Linked DNA regions of Lepisosteus oculatus. The protein of the gene in region 1 purifies or fractionates together with the protein of each later gene. This does not show direct contact. Links are inferred from orthologs where the notes say so. Each region holds a gene or a part of one and is shown on either strand. Other genes may lie near its edges.

What was found. The genes of interacting proteins can lie anywhere in the genome.
Region 2: the proteins of edc4 (region 1) and edc3 purify together in Homo sapiens (affinity purification with mass spectrometry; 6 studies listed by BioGRID and IntAct, with this or other methods). This does not show direct contact. The link is inferred for Lepisosteus oculatus from reciprocal best matches to the Homo sapiens genes EDC4 and EDC3.
Region 3: the proteins of edc4 (region 1) and xrn1 purify together in Homo sapiens (co-immunoprecipitation; 4 studies listed by BioGRID and IntAct, with this or other methods). This does not show direct contact. The link is inferred for Lepisosteus oculatus from reciprocal best matches to the Homo sapiens genes EDC4 and XRN1.

The regions. Positions count from the first base shown.
Region 1 is NC_090715.1:3,978,618-3,985,460, forward strand, and holds the start of edc4 (enhancer of mRNA-decapping protein 4), read left to right. Parts: upstream 1-3,834; 5' UTR 3,835-4,035; coding exon 4,036-4,120; intron 4,121-4,973; coding exon 4,974-5,127; intron 5,128-5,745; coding exon 5,746-5,857; intron 5,858-5,959; coding exon 5,960-6,059; intron 6,060-6,716; coding exon 6,717-6,843. UniProt on the Homo sapiens protein: In the process of mRNA degradation, seems to play a role in mRNA decapping. Component of a complex containing DCP2 and DCP1A which functions in decapping of ARE-containing mRNAs. Promotes complex formation between DCP1A and DCP2.
Region 2 is NC_090700.1:56,696,001-56,702,943, reverse strand, and holds the start of edc3 (enhancer of mRNA-decapping protein 3), read left to right. Parts: upstream 1-3,925; 5' UTR 3,926-4,067; intron 4,068-4,459; exon of another isoform or gene 4,460-5,304; intron 5,305-5,579; 5' UTR 5,580-5,585; coding exon 5,586-5,749; intron 5,750-6,943. Other genes in the region: cyp1a (cytochrome P450 1A1), read left to right, coding at 582-876. UniProt on the Homo sapiens protein: Binds single-stranded RNA. Involved in the process of mRNA degradation and in the positive regulation of mRNA decapping. May play a role in spermiogenesis and oogenesis.
Region 3 is NC_090708.1:15,748,370-15,755,201, reverse strand, and holds the start of xrn1 (5'-3' exoribonuclease 1), read right to left. Parts: upstream 3,019-6,832; 5' UTR 2,713-3,018; coding exon 2,638-2,712; intron 1,973-2,637; coding exon 1,740-1,972; intron 1,638-1,739; coding exon 1,540-1,637; intron 1,431-1,539; coding exon 1,321-1,430; intron 1,189-1,320; coding exon 1,078-1,188; intron 713-1,077; coding exon 627-712; intron 539-626; coding exon 451-538; intron 1-450. Other genes in the region: serine/threonine-protein kinase ATR, read right to left, coding at 4,452-4,625, 4,842-4,947, 5,048-5,199, 5,825-5,978, 6,077-6,233. UniProt on the Homo sapiens protein: Major 5'-3' exoribonuclease involved in mRNA decay. Required for the 5'-3'-processing of the G4 tetraplex-containing DNA and RNA substrates. The kinetic of hydrolysis is faster for G4 RNA tetraplex than for G4 DNA tetraplex and monomeric RNA tetraplex.

The DNA of each region.
Region 1 (6,843 bases):
CCCTTGTGCGTGATGTTTGGAAGCCAGCCGTCTCCGGTCACAGCCCCCTGGCCTCTTCTCTTCCAGTCCTCCCCCCTCTCGGTCCTCTTTCCCCAGTCCCAGTGTGCGTTGTTACCAGCATGCCTTAGAGAATCAAGTACACACCAGGCCTGTTCTTTTTTTTTTATTATTCCCTAAACTTTTACTTTTCTCCGTCATTGTACGGACAGGTTGCTCTAGCGATCCAAAGATCTGAAACTTAGCCAATGTGTGCGGTCAGGGTACCCCCCACCCGACCGTTCCCTAATCCCATTAGTATTCCTGGGTCTGTCCGTTCTGCGCAGCCATGATTACTGAAGCCACATGCACAATAAAACCTTGCCATTTTTTTTGTTAATCATGGAATCTTCCCATCTTTCCTCCTGTCATCTCAGTATTGTCGCTTTGGCCTTGTTTTTGCCCTCTCCTCGCACGCCTCCGCCCTGTTTAACTGTTTGATCGTGCAGCGCAGAGACCGGTTTCTTTTCACAAAGAGATAGAGATCCACGGACATCTGGGTCCCCTTCCCCCCCGGCAGCCACGCCTTCCTAAACCTCTCAAGACGCGAGCCGTGATCGGGGGGCGGCTTCGATCAGCCCCCGGCCGCCTAGAAATCAAACTGCCGAAGAGCCGGGGAGTGAGCTCTGCTTTTCCGGCCAATGCCACCACGAACGAAAGAGCCGCTGGTACCTGAAGATTTTTCCTGAGGAGGACAAGACTAACTGCTCCAGTTAAAGTTCATTTCATTTTCCACAGCTCCACCCCAGTTAGTCCTGTTCCTCATGTTTCTGCGTTGTCCTTACCTAGCGACTTGTAGTTTGCTCTTCATACCAACAGACTGAAGTGCCCTGTGGGCCAGGTGGTGTGTTAAAGTAGTGAAATAAGAACTGAGGGCACTCCGTTCCGTGCCAGGGTGAGGCTTTTCCCCCCGAAAAAAATGTCACACGAAAAGCAGAAGGATGGTCTCGGCCTTCAGCGCTACAGGGTTCACCTGTTTGTCCATGCTTTTGTGGGAGAAATGCTTTTTTTTTTCCTGTTGTTTTGTTAACCTTTTTGCACAACTGAGGGAGGAGAAATACAAACTGAATTATTCTGGACTGGATCTCATTGCTAGCTTCATATACACTGGGAGTTAATGGCATTGTGGTACAAAGGGTAGTTTAAAAGACATAGGGACTTGACTGTAATAAGCCATTACATGGGTTCAGTTACTGTTTCTTTAAATGGAAGGGGTTCTGTGGCCACATGTTAGTGAAGGAAATAAAAAACTGAAAGGAAACCCAATTAAAGTGTTTTAATTGTAATTCTGACAACTTCAGCACAACACCCCAGCTATTAAGAATAATCCGTACACCACACAAGCCCATGAATTTAGTTTTTTTCCCGACAACTGTGTTGCCCAAGGTTTGGGGTACACTGAAACATGACAATTGTTTTAAGTGTAGTGGGCTTAAATTACAAAGGCTAATATGATTCCTCTTTATGACTGTTGTAATGAGCATGATAGCATTAGCTAAACATGCAAATGTATTGCATAAGTGCACTTGGCAGAATACTATCAAAGACTGTAGTTTTTGTTAAATGCTGTCGTATGCTCGTTCTGGTTTTCACCGAGGTTTGCCATTCGTAATGACAATGCTGAAATCAATCCATTGATTTTACACACGGCTCCTACTTGGAAAAAAACGTTCATATGAAGCCTCCGTGTCGCTCGGACTCAGCTCTGTGGAAACGTTTAGTGATGATCTCACGCTCGTTACATTCGCATTCTCGTCTCAATCCACCGCACTGTTACAAATGTCCAATTGTATTAGTCCACCTCCCACTAGAGACCTCTAGTGGCGTCTGTTGTCACTACATGTTTGTATAGGCCATCTGTGCAGATGGAACTGGTACACCTTTTACTAGGCCTGTAAGTGGTGTGTAACTGTATAGTTATAGTTTGAACTGGTTGTAAATGTTTGACCATTTTCCCTTTTGAAACTGCTCGTGTACAGAGACCAGGCGCGCTAGCAACATCATACTAAACAGGCATACTAAGACAGGTAAGCTGTTACCTTTTTTTCGCTGCACCAACTGAAACATGACACACGCAAAATCTTCATCCAAATTTCTTTGGCCAATTATTTCCAAATGTTATGGGTGTATTTATAGGACCAAGATAGCTGCCTGTCATTTTTCATTCTTGTACATATACAGACCATGACACTTACAGTAACTCCTAATGTTTAACAATTAAATCACCAAATAATTCCCAACATTACTGTTCCTGTTCAAAGGCTGGTTAGCCAGTTCACTCCAACCTTGGTAGGTATCACTCAAGTGGTGATATAGTTAACATTCATAGTGAAATGGGTTTCCTACATGAAATATAATGACTTTGTACCTTTTGGACCCACAATACGTTATTTGCCAGCAGCCATATCACCCTGCAGCTCACTGGAGCTCAGCAGGTGTGAGCCTGGTCAGTACCAGGATAGGTGACTCCTGGGAAAGCTAAGGCTGCTGCTGGAAGAGGTGTTAGTGGTACCAGTAGAGGACACTCACCCTGTGTGGGTCCTAATGCCCCAGTATAGTGACAGGGACACTATACTATAAAAAGGCGCTGTCCTTCGGATGAGATGTAAAACCGAGCTCCTGACTCTCTGTGGTCATCCCAGGGCGTTTCTCGAAAAGAGTAGGGGTGTCCTGGCCCAGTTTTCCCCTGGCCTTTACCAATCATGGCCTCTTAGTAATCCCCCATCTCTGAACTGGCTCAATCACTCTGCTCTCCTCCCTAGTGAGAGCTGGTGTGTGGGGAGTGTTCTGGCGCACTATGGCTGCCGTCACATCATCCAGGTGGGGCTGCACACTGGTGGTGGTGGTGGAGGGGATCCCCATTACCTGTAAAGCGCTTTGAGTGGAGTATCCAGAAAGGCGCTATATAAGTGTAAGGAATTATTATTATTACCATCTTGGCAAAGCACACTTTGTGCCAGGAACTGCCATTCCTCAAAAACTGGCCAAACCCTATCGAAAGGCTCCCAGCCTGACAAGGTTTCCTTATTCTGTTTCCCCCTGGTTTATCTGCAGTTCGCTCCCACTGTTAAAACGGGGACACAATTGTGTGGAAGATTTCAGAACTACTGGCCATTTTCTAGTTCCAAAATATACTTTGAATTTATCCATGTAAAACAAATACACGTTTACTTCAAGTTAAACCAAAGATTTGAACGTCATTTTATTTATTTTTTCAATATATTGCATGTAACTGTTTAAACAAGGGCTATACAAGCAAGTTTATCAACTGATTGAATGCCTGGCAGAAAACTCTTGCATAGCACACACGGTGTAGTTAATCCTGCAGAAAACAAATTCTGCTTTCTGGTAAATTTAGAAACGACACCCTGGTTCTTTTTTATCAGCACTGTCTTAGGAGGCTTTCCTACGCAAATGCCAACAAAGCTGCGTGCTTTGTTGAGGCACATCACATGCACGATGCAAAGCAACTTCACTGATCTGTTGTTACTGACAATGTCACACCGTGGAATTGAGGTGAAGGTCTTCCTTCCGCGGACTAATACATTTTAAATTAATATCGTACTTTACAAACACCCACAGTGAAGGAAAACGACGAATGCCTGAATTTATTCCGCTCAGCAGACAAATACTGCCGCTTTCAAGTCGCTAAGGGAAATTTGAAATGCTTGTAAAAAGTAACTATAAACCTTTTTTTTCCCTAACACGGCTTACGGATCTATTACAATACGAACATCATAGTTTTGTTTCCAAAGATCTGGTCGAGTGCTGCGCAGGAACGCGTGAGCGAGTCCGCGGTTTCCCTGGCAGCAGGGACGGAATTACGGTGAGCGCAGAACGGAAGTTGAGGCGGTTGCTGGTTTTTCACGACCAGCAGAAAACGGAATCTGGGGCAAGCGATCACTTTGACGAAACAGAACAGTATCGATACAACATTTTAAGAAAGTAAAGGGTTTGCCTGTCGTTTATCCGCCCGCTACCTCCCCCTTTCCCTCCCTTATGGCTTCTAACTCCAATATAGATATAGAGGACGCGACCCAGCATCTTCGGGACATCTTGAAGCTGGCCCGACCCGGGATTAGCGGTGAGTGCCGTGGGGAGGCGAGCCGGGAGAGGCCTGCAAGATTCGCTAGGCCGCAGAAGGGGGGTGTTAGTTACAGGGATGCGGAAAAGATACGGAGATACACCGAGAAGTGAAGCCGAAGTTCAAACACAAAATGCAAAACGATAAGGTGTTTCTAGCGACCAGCAGTAAACTCAACCCTTTTGCGCATTTTGTGTTGCCCGGGAACGCGTAACAGAAGAGGAGAACAAAACGACGTTAAATTGTCAGCTTCACGGGTGGGAAAAAATATATATTCGAGAGATTTGAGAAGTTGTTGCAATTGAGGGTCCAGAAGAAAATGCAGAACACGCCGAGAGGTGGTGATTTTGAGGCGGAGAGGGGGTGTACGAGAAGGGAGGAGTTTTCCGAGGTTCACTCCGCTGTTTTCAAACCTGACCGAACGGGAGAAACCCGCGACTGAAGTTTTCGTGTCTTTTCTTCTGCTCCGTTTCGTGTGGACTGAGACTCCAAAAGTCGCGAAATTCAGTTGTAACAAGTGCGACTGTTGTTTTTTTTTTTTGCGACGCGTTTCCCAACGGGAACGGGCGTTGCGCTGAGCGCGCATGTCAGATGTTACATAAAATTCAGATGTAGTTCAAAAAGAACAGTTTTGCAAGAAAATATGCATTCTCTACGTATCCCTCAAAATCCGTGAGCCCTTTGAACTTCCAAGTTTATTTAAAGGGCTCACTCCGAATTGTTCTCTAGTTTTCTCTGCTGGGCTTACACAAAGAAGTAAAATGCATTTCTGTGCGTGATCCTTGTTTGGGTTTTTTTTTTTATCGGTCTGTTGCATTGTCCTCACGACAAGACTTTCCTCCCCTCCCACCAGATACCTCTTCGACTGAGAACCCAAAGAGGTCTTTCAACGGGGAGCTCAATGGCCTGTTTGGCGCTGACTTCGTAGCCGCGGGTGACCGAGCTACCCTGGGCGAGCCCACTGCGCACAACCCGGAGAGCATGAGCTCGCACGAGAGACAGACCATGTAGGGGATGGGGATGGGTTGCTTCGATAACCATGATCACTTCCTTAATCAAAAGGAATGAATGCTTATGGGAATGTAAAACCGAAAGTGCATTGCTTACCTATTTGACTTCGAATCTAGAGAACGTTTAGCAAAGAGTCCTGATGCAGCCACTGAAGGCAATCGTTACTGCTTTAGGATAATGTTATCAAAGTATGAGAAACAAAACAGCTGCTGCCTTTTGTGTGAGCAGTTAGCCGTTTTATAATACATGTGCAAGTCCCAAGTTTAATACTGATTGCGGTAATTCCTGTACAAAGTTTTAAATCTGCTCCTTGCACAGAGCAGTACAAGGAGTGATTCTTTTATTTGATAATGGGATAAGCTGATTGGTTTTACTTCAACAACTGTAGATGAATGCAAGTTTCCTGTCGCCTCTTTTGTCAAACATTTAATGTGCAATGTGCACTTATTTAGGCAGTGGGCATGGCTATTAAAACTATCACATCACCCAGAGTGCTAGAAAGAGTGGCTTTGTTGATATTTTGTCTCTGCAACATTTGTGCTTTAAAGTGCTGCTACCTAAATGGTCTTTTTTCTTAGGTTACTAAGTCCACCAGTTTTGTTTTTGTCTGACAGCTGCCTCTCAGGAGATGACAGTTCAACCTGTATTGTCATTTCATCTGGGGATGTGGAGGTCGTGGCAAGCCATGACTCCAGCATCAACAGCAAAGCCAGGGGCAGCAACAAGGTAAATCATGTCTGTGTGTTTATGGCAAGAAGAAGCTGCAGCCCAGGCCTTCTGTCCAAAGGGCTGGACTTTGGGGTTTCATTTAGACTCGTTCTCTTGCAGGTCAAAATCCAGCCTATTGCAAAGTATGACTGGGAACACAAGTACTATTATGGCAACCTGATAGCGGTGTCCAACAGTTTCCTTGCCTATGCCATTAGAGGTGAGAAGTGCTTTCTTTCCCCCCTTCTTGGTAAAGTGATGGTTTCTGTACTTGCAGTGCAGTATGTGCCTGTCCAGCAGGCATTGCCAGACTGCTTCTGAAAACTGTTTGGAAACAGTTGAGGCGGTGTGGCTTTGTTGCTTGGTTACTATGCAGTGTGTTCAATAAACAGTGATTGTGTATAAATATGCCCTGCCGTTAGTCTTGCTATAGTAAAGACCTTTTGACACTTTTGGACTTAAGTGTTCCGTAATAAACATGCCCTCTGCCGTACTCTTAAAACTACAAAAAATACAAAGTCCTAGCCTGGTTTGCATTTGGGTTTGAATGTTGCGGGTAATCTGTGGGTGCCTTTTATGTGTGTTTTGAATGTTTAACACCCGCCCTCCTAGTATAATTCTTCATTTCCCTTTTAAACACATGCAAGAACCTTTCCGAGCCGTATCTACAGATCATCGGGAGTTTGAGATTTGCATAGCATGGAATTGGGAGGAGCTATGAAGTGTTCAGTAGGATCTGTTTTTAAACCCGCGAATGGCAACGCAGGTGAACTCTAAATTTGATGTTGAGTTTAATTCCAGGTCTAGTTTCAAAGGTCACGCCACCTGCCAGCGCTTGGCATATTTTAGCACGTTATTCTGTTTTATCTGTGCGCAGGTGCAAACAATTACCCCATGATCCGAGTGCTGTCGCTGAGCACGGCCGAGCGCACGCTTCTCAAAGGATTCACGGGGGCTGTCACAGACCTGGCCTTTGCTCACCTCAACTCCACCCAGCTCGCCTG
Region 2 (6,943 bases), on another chromosome or scaffold:
GTGTGGCTTTCTGCAGTGGACCATACCTGAAGGCCTTTGCTATTGGATTTTTAAGATATTTAAGTAGAACAAAAGTAATCTTAATCAGCATTATAAACATTATTTTTAATGAACTGAACAGCTAAATAATATCTGCAAGCACTTCTAGTTGGATTTCCATAATTGACATAAAACAGTTATTTCTATGGTTTTGGCAGAGGTTGTCTAATACAGGTATTCATTCAGCACAGCTTTAAATAAAACCAAACTGTTCAAACTCTGGGACTTAGAACCAGGTACAATTTCACCTGCTGCGACAACAAGAACAATGTGCAAGATGATTTTTAAGGAAACTTTGTGAAGGCAGTCTCGATTATTTAAAGGTCCAGGTCAAGTGTGCTAATGTAGGCATCAAAATTACTTCTTTAGTAATCTACAATTTCAAGCCTTTTGCCGGGTCTTCAGGACACAGAACATACAGGACAAAAGTAGCACAGAAGTGAAATGCTATGAAAAGCTGGTAGTGCATCACCCTTTAAATCCATTCAGAAAAGTAAGTTGGCTGCCCTGTTTCAAGTTGAGCCTGTTTTTTCTTTCATTAGAATCACGTGGAAGGACCCCTCCTCCTTCAGCCCAGAGCGCTTCCTGGACGCTGAGGGCATGACTGTGAACAAGATGGAGGCGGAGAAGGTGATGGTGTTCGGGATGGGCAAGCGGCGCTGCATTGGGGAGTCCATCGGGCGCTCCGAGGTCTTCCTCTTCCTGGCCATCCTCCTGCAGAAGCTCACATTCCACAGCCTCCCCGACCACGAGCTGGACATGACGCCCGAGTACGGCCTCACCATGAAGCACAAGCGCTGCCACCTGCGTGCCAGCCTGAGAGTGCGCGCGGAGTGAGCTCCTTGGCGGCCGTGGAGCCCGCAGTGCACCTCGCCGCGCTGGGAGCGATGGCTGTTCCGTGTCTAGCTGTTCCTGGAGGTTGATAGCGTTGAGCTGCTGACGCAGCGGTCTGGCTTTCAAACAGGAGCTATGTGTCTTCGACTTGAGACTAGAATGCCAGAAGAAGCCAATACAAAGTACACAACAGATTTCTTAAATTGTAAAGGGCTGCTTTTCAAAAGAAAAGCCAAAATGTAATTGCAAGCAACTGTGTGAGAATTAATTCTAACTGAAGCTCCAGTTGACTTGAATCTGAACTTCCAAACCAGTTCTCAAAAGAAAAATAACTTTATAGTTTCAGTACAGCAGGAGGTCTGTAAGAATGTGTGAAAGCTGACTTCAGAGATGGCTGATCAGTTTGTAGTGACTTATCTCATTCTGTATATGAGTGGTTCCATCAGGTAGAACTGATGGGGAAAAATAAAATTAAAAACAGATGTCTGCCTTCAAAAGTGTATAAAATGGAACCCATCTGTTATTATTACTCTGATATTTAAATGTTGAAACTAGGGATTTTTAGCTTTGTAGGAATTGCTGTAAATCTCTTATTTGGGTTTTGCTCCTTTATCAGAAATAACTCATCAAAAGAGTTCTGTGCTGCCTCAGATCAAAAGCTTCCAGTTTGTGCGCATTTCTAAAACTGCTTTGCACCAGTTTCAATGTTGTTGTCTTATTCCTCTTGTTATGATAGGTAAGGGGATATTTTCAGTTTTTAATCTGAATTTAGGTCTTAAATCAAAGTTGCAAATGGATTTTCATTGTATTCTTTATTTAGTTGAATACGTTTTGCTACTTGTATCCAAACGCAGATTTATGGCACGTGATTTGCTTTTTGCCTTTACACCGGTTTGTAACCTGTTCTGGTGATGTGGAAGAGCTTTGTTATTCGGTTGTCTGTAATTGTATACAACTCAAAGTTAAGCCCCAGAAACAATGGACACTGTATAGGAAATATACTTTGTGTCTTAGGCGCCTTTCGAACAAATCTTTTTTTTTTTAACCTGTATATGTAGAATGTAGAGTTATTTGTGAAAGATTCAATATTGACCACAAGTGTCACACTAGCCATCCCAGGTTTGAGGTCTCTCGTCTTTTTTGCCATATATTTATATGTGGAGTAACATATTGATGCTTTGTCTGCCAGGAGGGGCATTTATCCCAGAATGTGACAGTGTACTTAACCAAACAACACTTACCTATTTAAGGGCTTTTACAGGTCCTGAACAAAATATCAGTTTTTGTACATGTAACAAATTGTGGGATGAGGGACTGAATTATACTGTACCTTATTGACTTAAAAATAGCTTTTATTATTTTCTGTCTAAAAACATATTCTAGCCAATTGTACAGCCATTTGTATTGTTAACAGGTGTATCTGTGAATTTTATTACGCAATCATGAAGGACCTTTTTCCAAGCTGTTGCAGTTACGCTGATCTTGTAGAACAAAATATATGCAAGTTATGGTAATTTCTTTTTAAATGATTTTGGTTTGTGCTTGCTTATATCAAGCTATTTTCTCTCATTCATGTATCAAGCTTACAGCATGTATAAGAGGAGTTCCTGTTTTTTTAAAAACATTTAATCTCTGTGAGATAATAAATGGGATAAAGTAATAAATTGGATGGAAATAATAAACCTTTTGAACATGAACCCGGTCTTTTTTATTTCTTATTTTTATAGACATACAATTATATTGTGTAGCACTGATACTAAATAGGTTAGTTAAATACATTTTGACTTGCATTTTCATTCTCAAATGTGACAGTCAACATTTTCACATTTAAATATTTAATCTAGCACATAAACTATATTGCATCTTCTAATATCAGACCCATATGATCTCAACTATATATTCCAATGTTTACAGTTCGTTTTATAGCATGTACAAATATTTACATTCTTCTGATGCAATATTCTTGTCAGTGTCACTTTTTGATTTGTGCATTAAGTTCATTTATTTTTAACCTCAGGTTTCTTAATGTAATTTGTAGTGTGAGCTGTCTTTTTTTCTTAATTTCTTTATTACTCCATTTCAGCCATATTTCCCTAGCTTTAAATATTTCTTTCTCGGCACCATCCATTTGAATACCTGAATCATATCACGGTGTAAACCTAGAAATCGTGTCCTATAACATTTGTATTTCACGCCAATTAAATTAGATTTTTCAAACTTTAAAACAAAGGGGAACGTGTTTTGTATTCTGAATCTTTCAGCAGAACACTAACCATTTACAGATAATTTGACATGAAGTTGTGTTGGGCTGTGTGTCTTCTCTCTACCCTTCCGAGTGGTTTCATTTCATATCCTGTTCCATATTCTCAGCCTTCAATGTGACAGATCATCACGGGTTTCTGTCCTCCAACACGTAAAGACGCACCAACATTTCAAAAACTGTTTCTAACCAAAGAATTATTTCAATACGAGAAAAAGAAACGTCAGTCTTTCTCATTTGATGCGAGATTTGTTGATCATTTTTATTTTATTCTGCTACAGTAGAGAAAATAGTTCGGTAACCGTAAAACAGAATAAATGCATAATATCACAGAGTTTAAAAGTGTGTACGTTTTTTCGACTTGCTTCCCGCACGACACTTGAACCAAATTTCTTATTCCATGTAGCCTATGCATTCTATAAAGTATCTTCTTAAACTCATACTGCATACATTTTATAAGAGTATATACCACATTTTTTCTCATCTATATTTGATCCCTTTGATCAACAAATATTCTCTTTGTTCGTATGCCTATTTCAGTGGTCAAAAACATGGGAAATGTTTATCTGGAGGGCCCATGAAGTCAGGTGGCTAGCTTTCAGTAGCATCTAGCTACAGACGGCTCACATCCCTGAGAACACAGTCTGTGTGCAGACGCAAAGAACAGATGCAGGAATAGTTACTACCGAAATTACAGAATTCATCCCCACGCGAGCAGCCTGTCTCTTTCAGCCAATGACTGGAAAGGACAGGACTCGCAGGAAGTGACGTACACAGTCGCAGAGAGGCCTTCGGGAAGTGACCCGCAGCGGGAGAAGAACTGTGGTGCTTATTAAAGCGGAGCCTTCGGGGTCTGGAAACATACAGAATAGAATTTATATTTCAGTTAAACGCAGATTTGTATTCATTTGTTTTTGAGAGGAGCAAAAAGCAGGTATTTCGTCTGTTTTTTATTTTAGAACATGGGTTAGAGTTATGGTCTTTTGTGGTTAAAATGGAAAGACGTAGCCATAGGACTCACGAGCTGTGTAGTAGTAGCACACAACGTAAAGTTTTAATGCTGTAGTGAGCCCTGGTTGACTACATTCAATTTTCAACTATTGACATATACACGCAGTTTAGTCAGGAACAGTCCCGTCTGTTCCTTGGTTTATTTACCAGGTCCGTGTTTTAGTCCTGCTCGCTGATGTGAAGGCCCTTCTCTCGGCAACTCCTCTTCATAGTAGTATAAGAAAGTTGAGTTTTTTTTTTAAATAAAAGGTTTAAATATCTCCAGGCAAAACATTTGCGTGATGCTGAAGCAGTACGTCAAGCAATGCACATGTACATCAATACAATTGTGTTGTAAACTTTTGTAGTCCTAATATGCAGTATAAGAATATGAGGGTTTGTTGGACTCGGGGGTGCATGTGGTAAACTGATGGTTATATGGTCTTGCAGTACAATAGTGGATACAGCAATCTTCTGTTGTCTTGTACACTCGGAGGCTGCTATTGCTGAAACCCTTTGCAAGGGAGTTTAGAGGATTCTTTCGAACATGGGTAAGCAGTCAAGAATCAACCCAGTTCTGGATGCAGTCTCTTCACCACCAACATAAAACTCGAATCCAGTGGATACGATTTTGCATTTTTTCCCTTTAGATTAAGAAAATCATGTTTGGTGCATTTAGTTGCAAAACAAAAGTAATGATTGTTTTGTTTAGTACTTCACTGTTTTTTTTTATTTTTCACCTGTTAAATTCAATAGAGATCATTCTGATTTACATTGACCATGCAGAAACCTGTTTATACAGCAGGGGATTTACTGGGGCAGTGCGAGGGACGTGGAAGGGTTGCAGGTGCGAAGGCAGAGCTTCACCTGAGAAACCAAGACTGGTCTGGAGTCCAGAGCCTTAGCTGCAACCCCAGGCACCTGCCTCTGTGTTGTTTGAAGTGATTGTTGGCGATTTTGGTTTTATTTAAATTGTGAGGTGTATGAAGTGCAGGGAGAATTCAGAGTGAAGTTTAAGCATGGTATACAGTGTAATATGATTAAATCCAAAAAATGTTCTGGGGGCGGAGTGTGTGTTTGGACCTTTATAACACCCAGGGAACTCTGAGTGGAACTTTGCATTGCATTTGTTACCTGCTCTCAGTATTCTGGCATCAGGCTGCTTCATTAACCTCCCACAGGTAAGAGAAAATAAGATGCTGCACCAAGAAAATTAGAGATCCAGGGGAACGTGCTTGATAGAGCAACTCTGCTGACAAGACACTTATAAAACTTTCAGGTTGCCTACGATATGGTAGGCAACTATATATATTCTGTATTGTAACTACTGTGACAAATTAAGTTCCCGTGTTTAAGACCATTTGTTTAACAGGAATACTGTTTTGGGTTCAGTTCTGTAGTGCACGATGCACAGAAGCTCCGACAGTTGGATGAAAAGCCACTTGTTGTGTTGCAGGCCAGGATGGCGGCGGACTGGCTGGGGAGCCTGGTGTCCATTAACTGTGGGGAGACGCTGGGGATGTACCAGGGAGAGGTGTCTGCTGTGGACCAGGCCAGCCAGACCATCTCCCTCAGACAGCCCTTTCACAATGGGATCAAGTGCCCGGTGCCTGAAGTCACCTTTAGGTGAGGTTCCAGGAGGCATTGTCTCAGACTACTTTTCACTCAGGTTTCAATCAAAAGGAGCTTACACAATATTTAACTTCAGTGTTAGTCTCTTTCTCACTTGTACGTTTCCATTATGATCTACTGCCATTATGTAAACTTAAGAGCAGACAATGTTTCCAAAAATCCTTGACGAATTTCCTTATTTTGTTAAATTCTTACATTCATTTCATTGACATTTTTTAACAACATTGGATTCTTTTCTGAACCTAAATATGAATTTTTGATTATTTCTGTTTGGAAAAAGCGGGATGATTTTAATCTGAATTATCTGTATTTTAGATACTTTATTGATCCCTTGAGGGAAATTGGAGTGCAACAGCAGCTTAACACAGACAACACAGACACAGTGTAACGAATGATACAATAATAATAATACAATACAATCAGTACAGTGCGAAGTGCACTAAGAAGAGTTACTCACAGTCCAGAACACACAAAGAACAGAACAGTACACAAAAAAGTCGTATTGCACAATATGATTATAAATATAAATGTATTGCTCAGGTCCCTGGCATATATTGCACAAAAACAGTTTTAAACGGGAAAAGAAAAAGAACAGATGTATCAGTTTACTGTTCAGTCCAGAAACGTCACTGTCAATGTTGCCTCTGCCCAGACGCAAGGTGGATGCGTCGTACAGTCTTATGGCAGAAGGCAAGAATGACCTCCTGTAGCGCTCCCTGTCGCACCGTAGATGGATCAGTCTATTGCTGAACGTGCTCTTCATTTCTGCAAGCCTGTCATAGAGGGGATGGGAGACGTTGTCCATGATGGCCTCTAGTTTGGACACCATTCTCCTCTCGGTCACTACCTCCAGGGGGTCCAGGCCAGACCCAATGACAGAGCTTGCTCTCCTGATGAGCTTGTTCAGCCTTTTAGAATCCACTGCTCTAATCCCAGAGCCCCAGCATACCACCATGTAGAAAATGACGCTCCCTACCACCGACTGATAGAACAGATGTAGCATTTTACTACACACATTGAAGGACCTGAGCCTCCTCAAGAAGTAAAGTCGGCTCTGACCCTTCTTAGACCACTCCCATGGATGTAGACAGGAGTAGGTTGGACCCTCTTCCTCCTGAAGTGTATCACCAACTCCTTAGTCTTTGCTACATTCAGTTGCAGGTGGTTCTCCCCACACCACTCCACAAA
Region 3 (6,832 bases), on another chromosome or scaffold:
CATTCCAGACCAGTTGAGGAATTAAGAAATTACTTCACCAGTTAAATTAAATGGAGGCCTTCAGGTAGGCCAGACTGGAGTAAACGACTCACCCCTGTGAACAGTGCCATGGGATTTTATTTAAAGTAGCCAGGACTTTGGTTTAACGTCTCATCAAAAGGACAACTGATCAATATAATTGTAAACTGGTTTGGAATATTCTGGCCAAATGGATGGATTTAGACCCTGCCTTGTTTACCCTCCATACTTATGAGACCAGAATACAGAGTGGCAAGACTGCTGTCAAAGATATCCTTAAATAAACTTTTGCAATTCCAGTTTCAAATAAAAAAAATAAATGAAGCTCTTCTAAATATGCTATGGAAATGCATCACAACGAGCAACCAATATTTTAAAATAATATACTGTGTATATTTCCAAGGTGAAAATAATGAGTTTATTATTACTTACCCGCAGCTCTGAAAATTCATAGTCGATGTACTCTCTCATCAGGGACAAGTGCAACAAGTGAAATGTTGTCTCTTCAGGTGTACTTATTCTATATAAAACAAAACACGCATAAGTGTCAAAAAGAGAAGGAGCAACATGAAATTCAAATATTAAATGGCACTGACTTATGCACTTGCCTTTTCTGTGACTTTTTACCACCAAAACGAACTTCTTCTCTCAAAAGAGAGAAGTGAGGTTCATGGCTTGTCAACCCAAGCATTATCTACATGGAAGAAGGAAAAAGAAAATGGTATAAATATTTAGCCAGCAGGTAAGAAAAAGTTACTTTAATTCTACTGGAAACATTTATAATTATTTTGCTCTGACATTTCATAACAGCTCTTAGGTTTACATTTTGGGAAGACCTTATACTACAATCTCAGTCTGTTAATGAGGGAGGTTTAGTGACAACTAAAGGTACTCATGATAGTTTTATTAGCATCCTAAAATTATTTAATAAGCACTTTTATAACGAAAGTTGTTCAATCCCGTAGTTCAATTTTTTTTAAAGGCAACACCTTTAAATGCTTAAAAGTCATGTACAATCAAATGAAAATGCATGCATTTTTCAAACTAAAAAATACATACCAGATCAGCATCCAAACCATAAAGACAGTGCCTGGTATTGGGGTCATGGTCTGGCCTGGCATTTTCTGACCGAATGAATTCCATGATTTTGTGTTCTCCTTCTCCAGGGGTCTGTACAGTAAATAAATAGCAGATTTGTGATCATAATACCTAGCATGGAAAACTCTCGAGACTGCAGAGGTACACCGGAACATAAATCACATCACGTATCGAATTACTCTGTTTCTCTATTTAATTATATACCTCATGACCGGAGAGGTAAACTCGCACCCTCTGCCATGATTTTTCTGTGGATATTTTGTTATGCACAAAATACTCCAGCTGCTCCTGGAGTCTGGCCATAAATTCTGTTCCTAAAAAAAAAAAGAGAAAAGGCATTTGAGGGGTACAGTACAAACATGTCAGAAAACAAGGCAAAAGATGAGCGAGGTGTCAACATAGCCCCAGCTGTGTAGTAGCTACCTGGAGTAATGCAGTTGGAGTCAAATCTAGCCTCTGTAGGAAGAACTTCTCCTTTCTCTAGGGCCTTCTTAATTTTATCTTCAGCTTCTTTTGCTGACCTTCAAATAAAACAAAAAAATAAAAACACTGCCCATAAAGTATCAACCTCCCAGACAGACTACCTTTGAATCCGTGGTACACGAAACAAACCGTGTTGTTACCTAAAGCGCCTTCCGCGCTGTTGGTTCATTTTTGCGCGAGGAGCCACTCCATCCACGGCCATGAAGAAGACCTTTCTCGGCTTAATGATACGAAACAGCACTTCCAGATAGTGAAAAATGTCGGCAAATATTTTCTCTTCTGAGATTCGGAAGTGCACGTCTTCATCATTGGGGTGGGAGCACTGATGAATAATGCCATTCATGTCCAAGTACAGGTTGTCAAATTCAGGAATCTGAAGCAAGGGACAGAAACAGACTGCCTTTAGCCTCTACCGGGCAATAAAGCAACATTAAGTCGGTCGCCTGCGCCTCAAAGTGAACTGCAACAATGTCGCTGTTTCGGCTGTAAAGTCTACGAGAGTGCGCTCTTAAATGAAGCTTTAAATATAAAAACTAATTTACAATATTTCCCAAAGCAAAATAAACCAACGTGTTAGCCGCCCTGGATAGAAGCTAAAAATAATAAATACATAGAAAAGGCGACCTCTGTAACGAGAGAAAGAGATAAGAATATCGTTTAGATGTATTGACTACAAATGCAACTATGAGGATTATTACTGGTTCTGTTCGCAGCAACAGGACAAAATTACATATTGAGCATGTTTTTACAAATCAAGTAAAACTGCTGTTGTCAGGGAGATACTAAAACCAAAATGTCTTATATTTATTGTATCTACTGTATTCAATTGCAGATGTTTCCGCTCATAAAACAACTTTAAAAAACAATTGCTTCTTAATGACAACAGTCATTTATGCGGTCTAAACTAAACAGAAAATGAAAACTCATACTGAAGCTCAATTATTTTATAGAAAAAATAAACAGACAGAGCTATGCAATTAAATCAGAATCAGAAGGAAGGGTTGTATGGTGTAACTCGTAAGGCCTATATATTCTTACCTGATGTTCCTTAACAACTTCACTCAAACAAGGGTATCTCTCCGAAATCCATCGGTAAAATTTCGGTACACCCATCCTTACCACAACCTCGTCCCGAGAGATTAAAAAAAAATGAATTGCAGTGTTGCAGTAAAAGTTTATATTCCTACGGAGGCCAGTTTTTATTTTTGCTTCTATGCCAGCGGGGAAGTGCGGACGGTCAATTCGAAATTGCTGTGACGTAAGACTGATATGGATACAGTACAATGCTAAAATAACAATTCATCAATTTCCACTAAAAGACTTGTAACGAAATTTCATTTTTTTCCTAATCTTTCGCCAAGATTAAATAAAGCAAGAGCTTTTTGTTCAAACGTTAAATTGTTTCCCTTTCTTATTATTTGTCCGACAAATAATCAGTCCCGGACTGCTTCGACTCACAGTAAAGGTTCCTATGGACTTTAAAACTGTCAATTACTGCCGTTGTGAGATTGTTAAATCTGCGGCGGCGGAGGAATAATAAATAAAAGTAATAAAACCAGTGCTAAATAAAATAAATATTAAGGTCATATTTAATCAAACACGGTGGATTAACAGTCCTTAAAACCGCAGACGACAATACAGTGGCTAGGATTGTCCACATTAGGACAAATAAAACTGCTGATGCGTGTCAGACGATGGGGTAAAGTAAGGCATTCAACAGAGGATAAAATCTAGAACCCCTTAGAATTCGGGTGTTAGAATGACAAAGGGCAACACCTGCACTATTCCGGAAAAGACGGCTCAACCTCGCCATCTCGTCAAAAAGACTGTGTGATACTGTTCGGTTTACTGAAAGTGAACTTTATTACACATACTTTGACCAATTGGGCTAGTATTTTGCCCGCACCAGTTCAACACAACGATGCCGAGTGATTAGCGATTTATTAACTGTATTTTTCGTGATTGAAGTTTTGCCATGTTCAACAAAGTGGATGTCAGTTGAATGGTAACGTTTTAGTGTTTCTGTTAAAGGAACGCGGATGTCAGTTGAATGATTTTTTAGAGAATGTTCCTGTTAAATTAAAATTATAGTAACAATAGTAACATCTTAGAAATGCATTTTGAGATAAACATTTAAGATGCCTTTGTAGTATTTCATTTTTCGACCTTCACTGGAGAATAGAAAATCTGTTACATAACTGGAATAAGAAGGCCAGAATTAAACTGCACTTAGTCAAACGTCGTGTCTGTATAATAACAGAACTTATCCAGGAGATACGGGATATTTCATGAAGTCCTTCAAAAAGTGATGAGGGGGAAATTCATTCAGGAAGGCTTTGGAGGGACTATTGTTATAAGAAAGTTTTGGTAATTTGTGTGGAGCACTAGATTACACTAATTTAAAAAAGAACAGGTTTTCAGTAAATAAAATCAAAAGATAATGTTACTTTTCTGCTAAAAGATTTTTTAAACATGTACATCTCTCAAGAAGTTCACCACAAGAATCCAAGACAGTGTTTACAACTTGTTGAGATTTTTCAATGTCTCTCTGAGCTACAGTATGTCTCAAACCCAGACAATACTTCAAAAGAAAGAGCTAAAGATCTTAGTTAAGAAATCAGATCTGAAATTAAGGGAGGTGCTTTGAAAATTTTTATAGAACTCTTTTATTATTGTGGTTATAATGTAACACGTGAATTTACATAACAGAAATAATGTCAATAATTTCCAAACAGATTTGAACACCGCAAAGAAATGAACACGCCAGTAGAAACATAAATGTTTTTAATAAAAGAAAGTGAGGAATGAATTTGCCCTGAATAATAAGTGCTTATTTGAGACACCAAACATGGTCACAGGTAGGGAGCCCAGCCCAGGTACATGAGACAAAGCAGTTTCTCATTTGTGGCTTCATCGATGAGGTAGTGAACATGGCCTTCAATGGATAGAGGCAAACCCATCACCTTGTTCCTGTTCTTGATAACCCCCTGCAGCCTCTGCTCTATATCAAGGACATGGGTCTTCGCCTACAGAAAACAAAGAGCAAATGTCAACAGTGCAGGTATTTCCAAGATGCTACCACTCGACAATTCTGTCAGAGAAAGTTCAGGTATTGCTGTGTACAGGAAATACAATAGACAATTCAGTGATTGCGTTTGACACCTGTCAAATTCATTCACCCTGGCTTGAAACAGGAATTCAGAATACAACATCACATCACAGTTGTCTGTGAAACGGCATACCTTTTCATTAAGGATTTCTCCGGATTCATTGACGTGGGCTTTTGTACCTCCCTTAACAGGTTTACTCCACTCCACCAACGGATCATGAAGGAAGGTCTTCAAGACACTAAGAAGTTGGAAAGAAACGAGCACAAAGTTCAAACACTGTACTTCATGAATGGAGATTACTCAATGTGTGTAAACCCACAGAGGGAGGAGGTTCCTACCTCATTAACGGCTCCCTCTGATCCCGCATTAGTCGGAGGGTGACCTCACAGGCTTGGCGGAACAGACCCTCAGTTCCCATGGGGCCCATGGCGTGAACCATATTCTGTGTCAGTCGGAAAGGCACTACTTCTGGGACTTCAAATGTTTCACCCTATCACGGAAAAGAAAAGGCTCAAAATTCCCTGCATGCACAAAATGAGCACCTAAAACACGGTTATTCATTGATGTCATTCCTTTTTTCCTTATTGTATAGGGGTTCCCAACCTCCCAATAAGGACAAGCAACATTAGCAGTAAATCAGATTGAAACAAAGAATATAAATTATTCCCTGAAATATATTTGCTGAAAGAAACTGGGCTTAATAACACCTTAAAAACCTTTATAACAAACCTATGCAAAGGACAAAAGTTTGTCTTTAAGGCCTTTGAAGGATTTAAGAATAGAGGAATATGGCTCAGGTGTCACCACTTGATTGTAACAGAATTCCAATTGGAACATACTTCACAAATGAGGGGAGACCATATAGCTAGGTTGGTTTTCTATCACTAGGGGGTTTGAGGATGTTTTGGTGAAAGAAACTTCGGTACTATCTTTGACAGCCCATCTGGGTAGTTTGTTGCAGATGTCTAGCGTATCCACTCCATTTTAAAAGCAATTCCCTTATTTTTGTCTGTGCAGCATTCAGAGGTTGAAGTCATGAGCCAAGTCTTACAAGGCAGGTGCCAGATTGGGTGGGTATATGATAAAAACACACCTGAGGTAATATGCGCACACACCTTATTAAAGAGACAGTTGAAGTCCACATGCACACATTCTCCTGTTAAAGAGTCAAACAGGATGTTTTCTCCATGTCGATCCCCAAGTCCCAGGATGTAGCCCACCATTGACATCACAGCAATGGAGCGGCAATATGCAGATCTACTGCTGTACCTGTAACGAGACACCGTTCCAGGAACTTGCGTTACATTAAAGTGATACGGTTTCCCTCAAATTGTTTGAACAATTTAAACAGATGGAATGGTACAAACCATGAAGTAGGATCAGGGAACGTTCTAAGGAACCACTCATAAAAGACTGGAGGGTGTCGGGGAACGAGAACATTTTTGTGCAGTTTCAATTTTTCCATAAAGGGGGCAGATTTTGGCAACATGTACTTGCGTAACTCCTTTCCACTTAAGTAAATGCCTGAGGAAAAGCAGATCATTAAAATATTTAAGTGAGAAAGAAGAAAATAAGTTAAGGTGAAAGTCTATCATCATTCACATGGGTACTAATAAACTGCAAAATACAGTATGTCATAATATGAAGACCATAAAGATTTTCAAGTCTAAATGTCAATGGTGGTTTACTCATTAGTTTCTCTTCTCAATACATATTTCAGAATTTCCCCTTTAAAAATGTTTAAAATGAGATAATTTTCCTGATACACCCAAATGCCTTTTTTTCAATTCTAGCTTCAGAATCAAATATTTTCTCTTCCCATTTAGTCCCATCTAACTATATAACAATGTAAATATGCAACCATCTAACCATGCACCATGTAATAGCATGACTTTTTAAAATAGTGTTATGTTACACAGATCTAATCATATAAACAAACATCACAGTGTTATGTACAGGTTTTTGATGCAAACTGACTTCTGAAATTATAAGTGTATTCCATGAATTGGCACAATTATAGTCTACATTTATTTTAAATCACTTACAGTATGTGTCAGTTTCCACAATCTAAATTTAAGCATCACTTTTGATTTGCATTACTTCTGAAATAACACATGACTGAG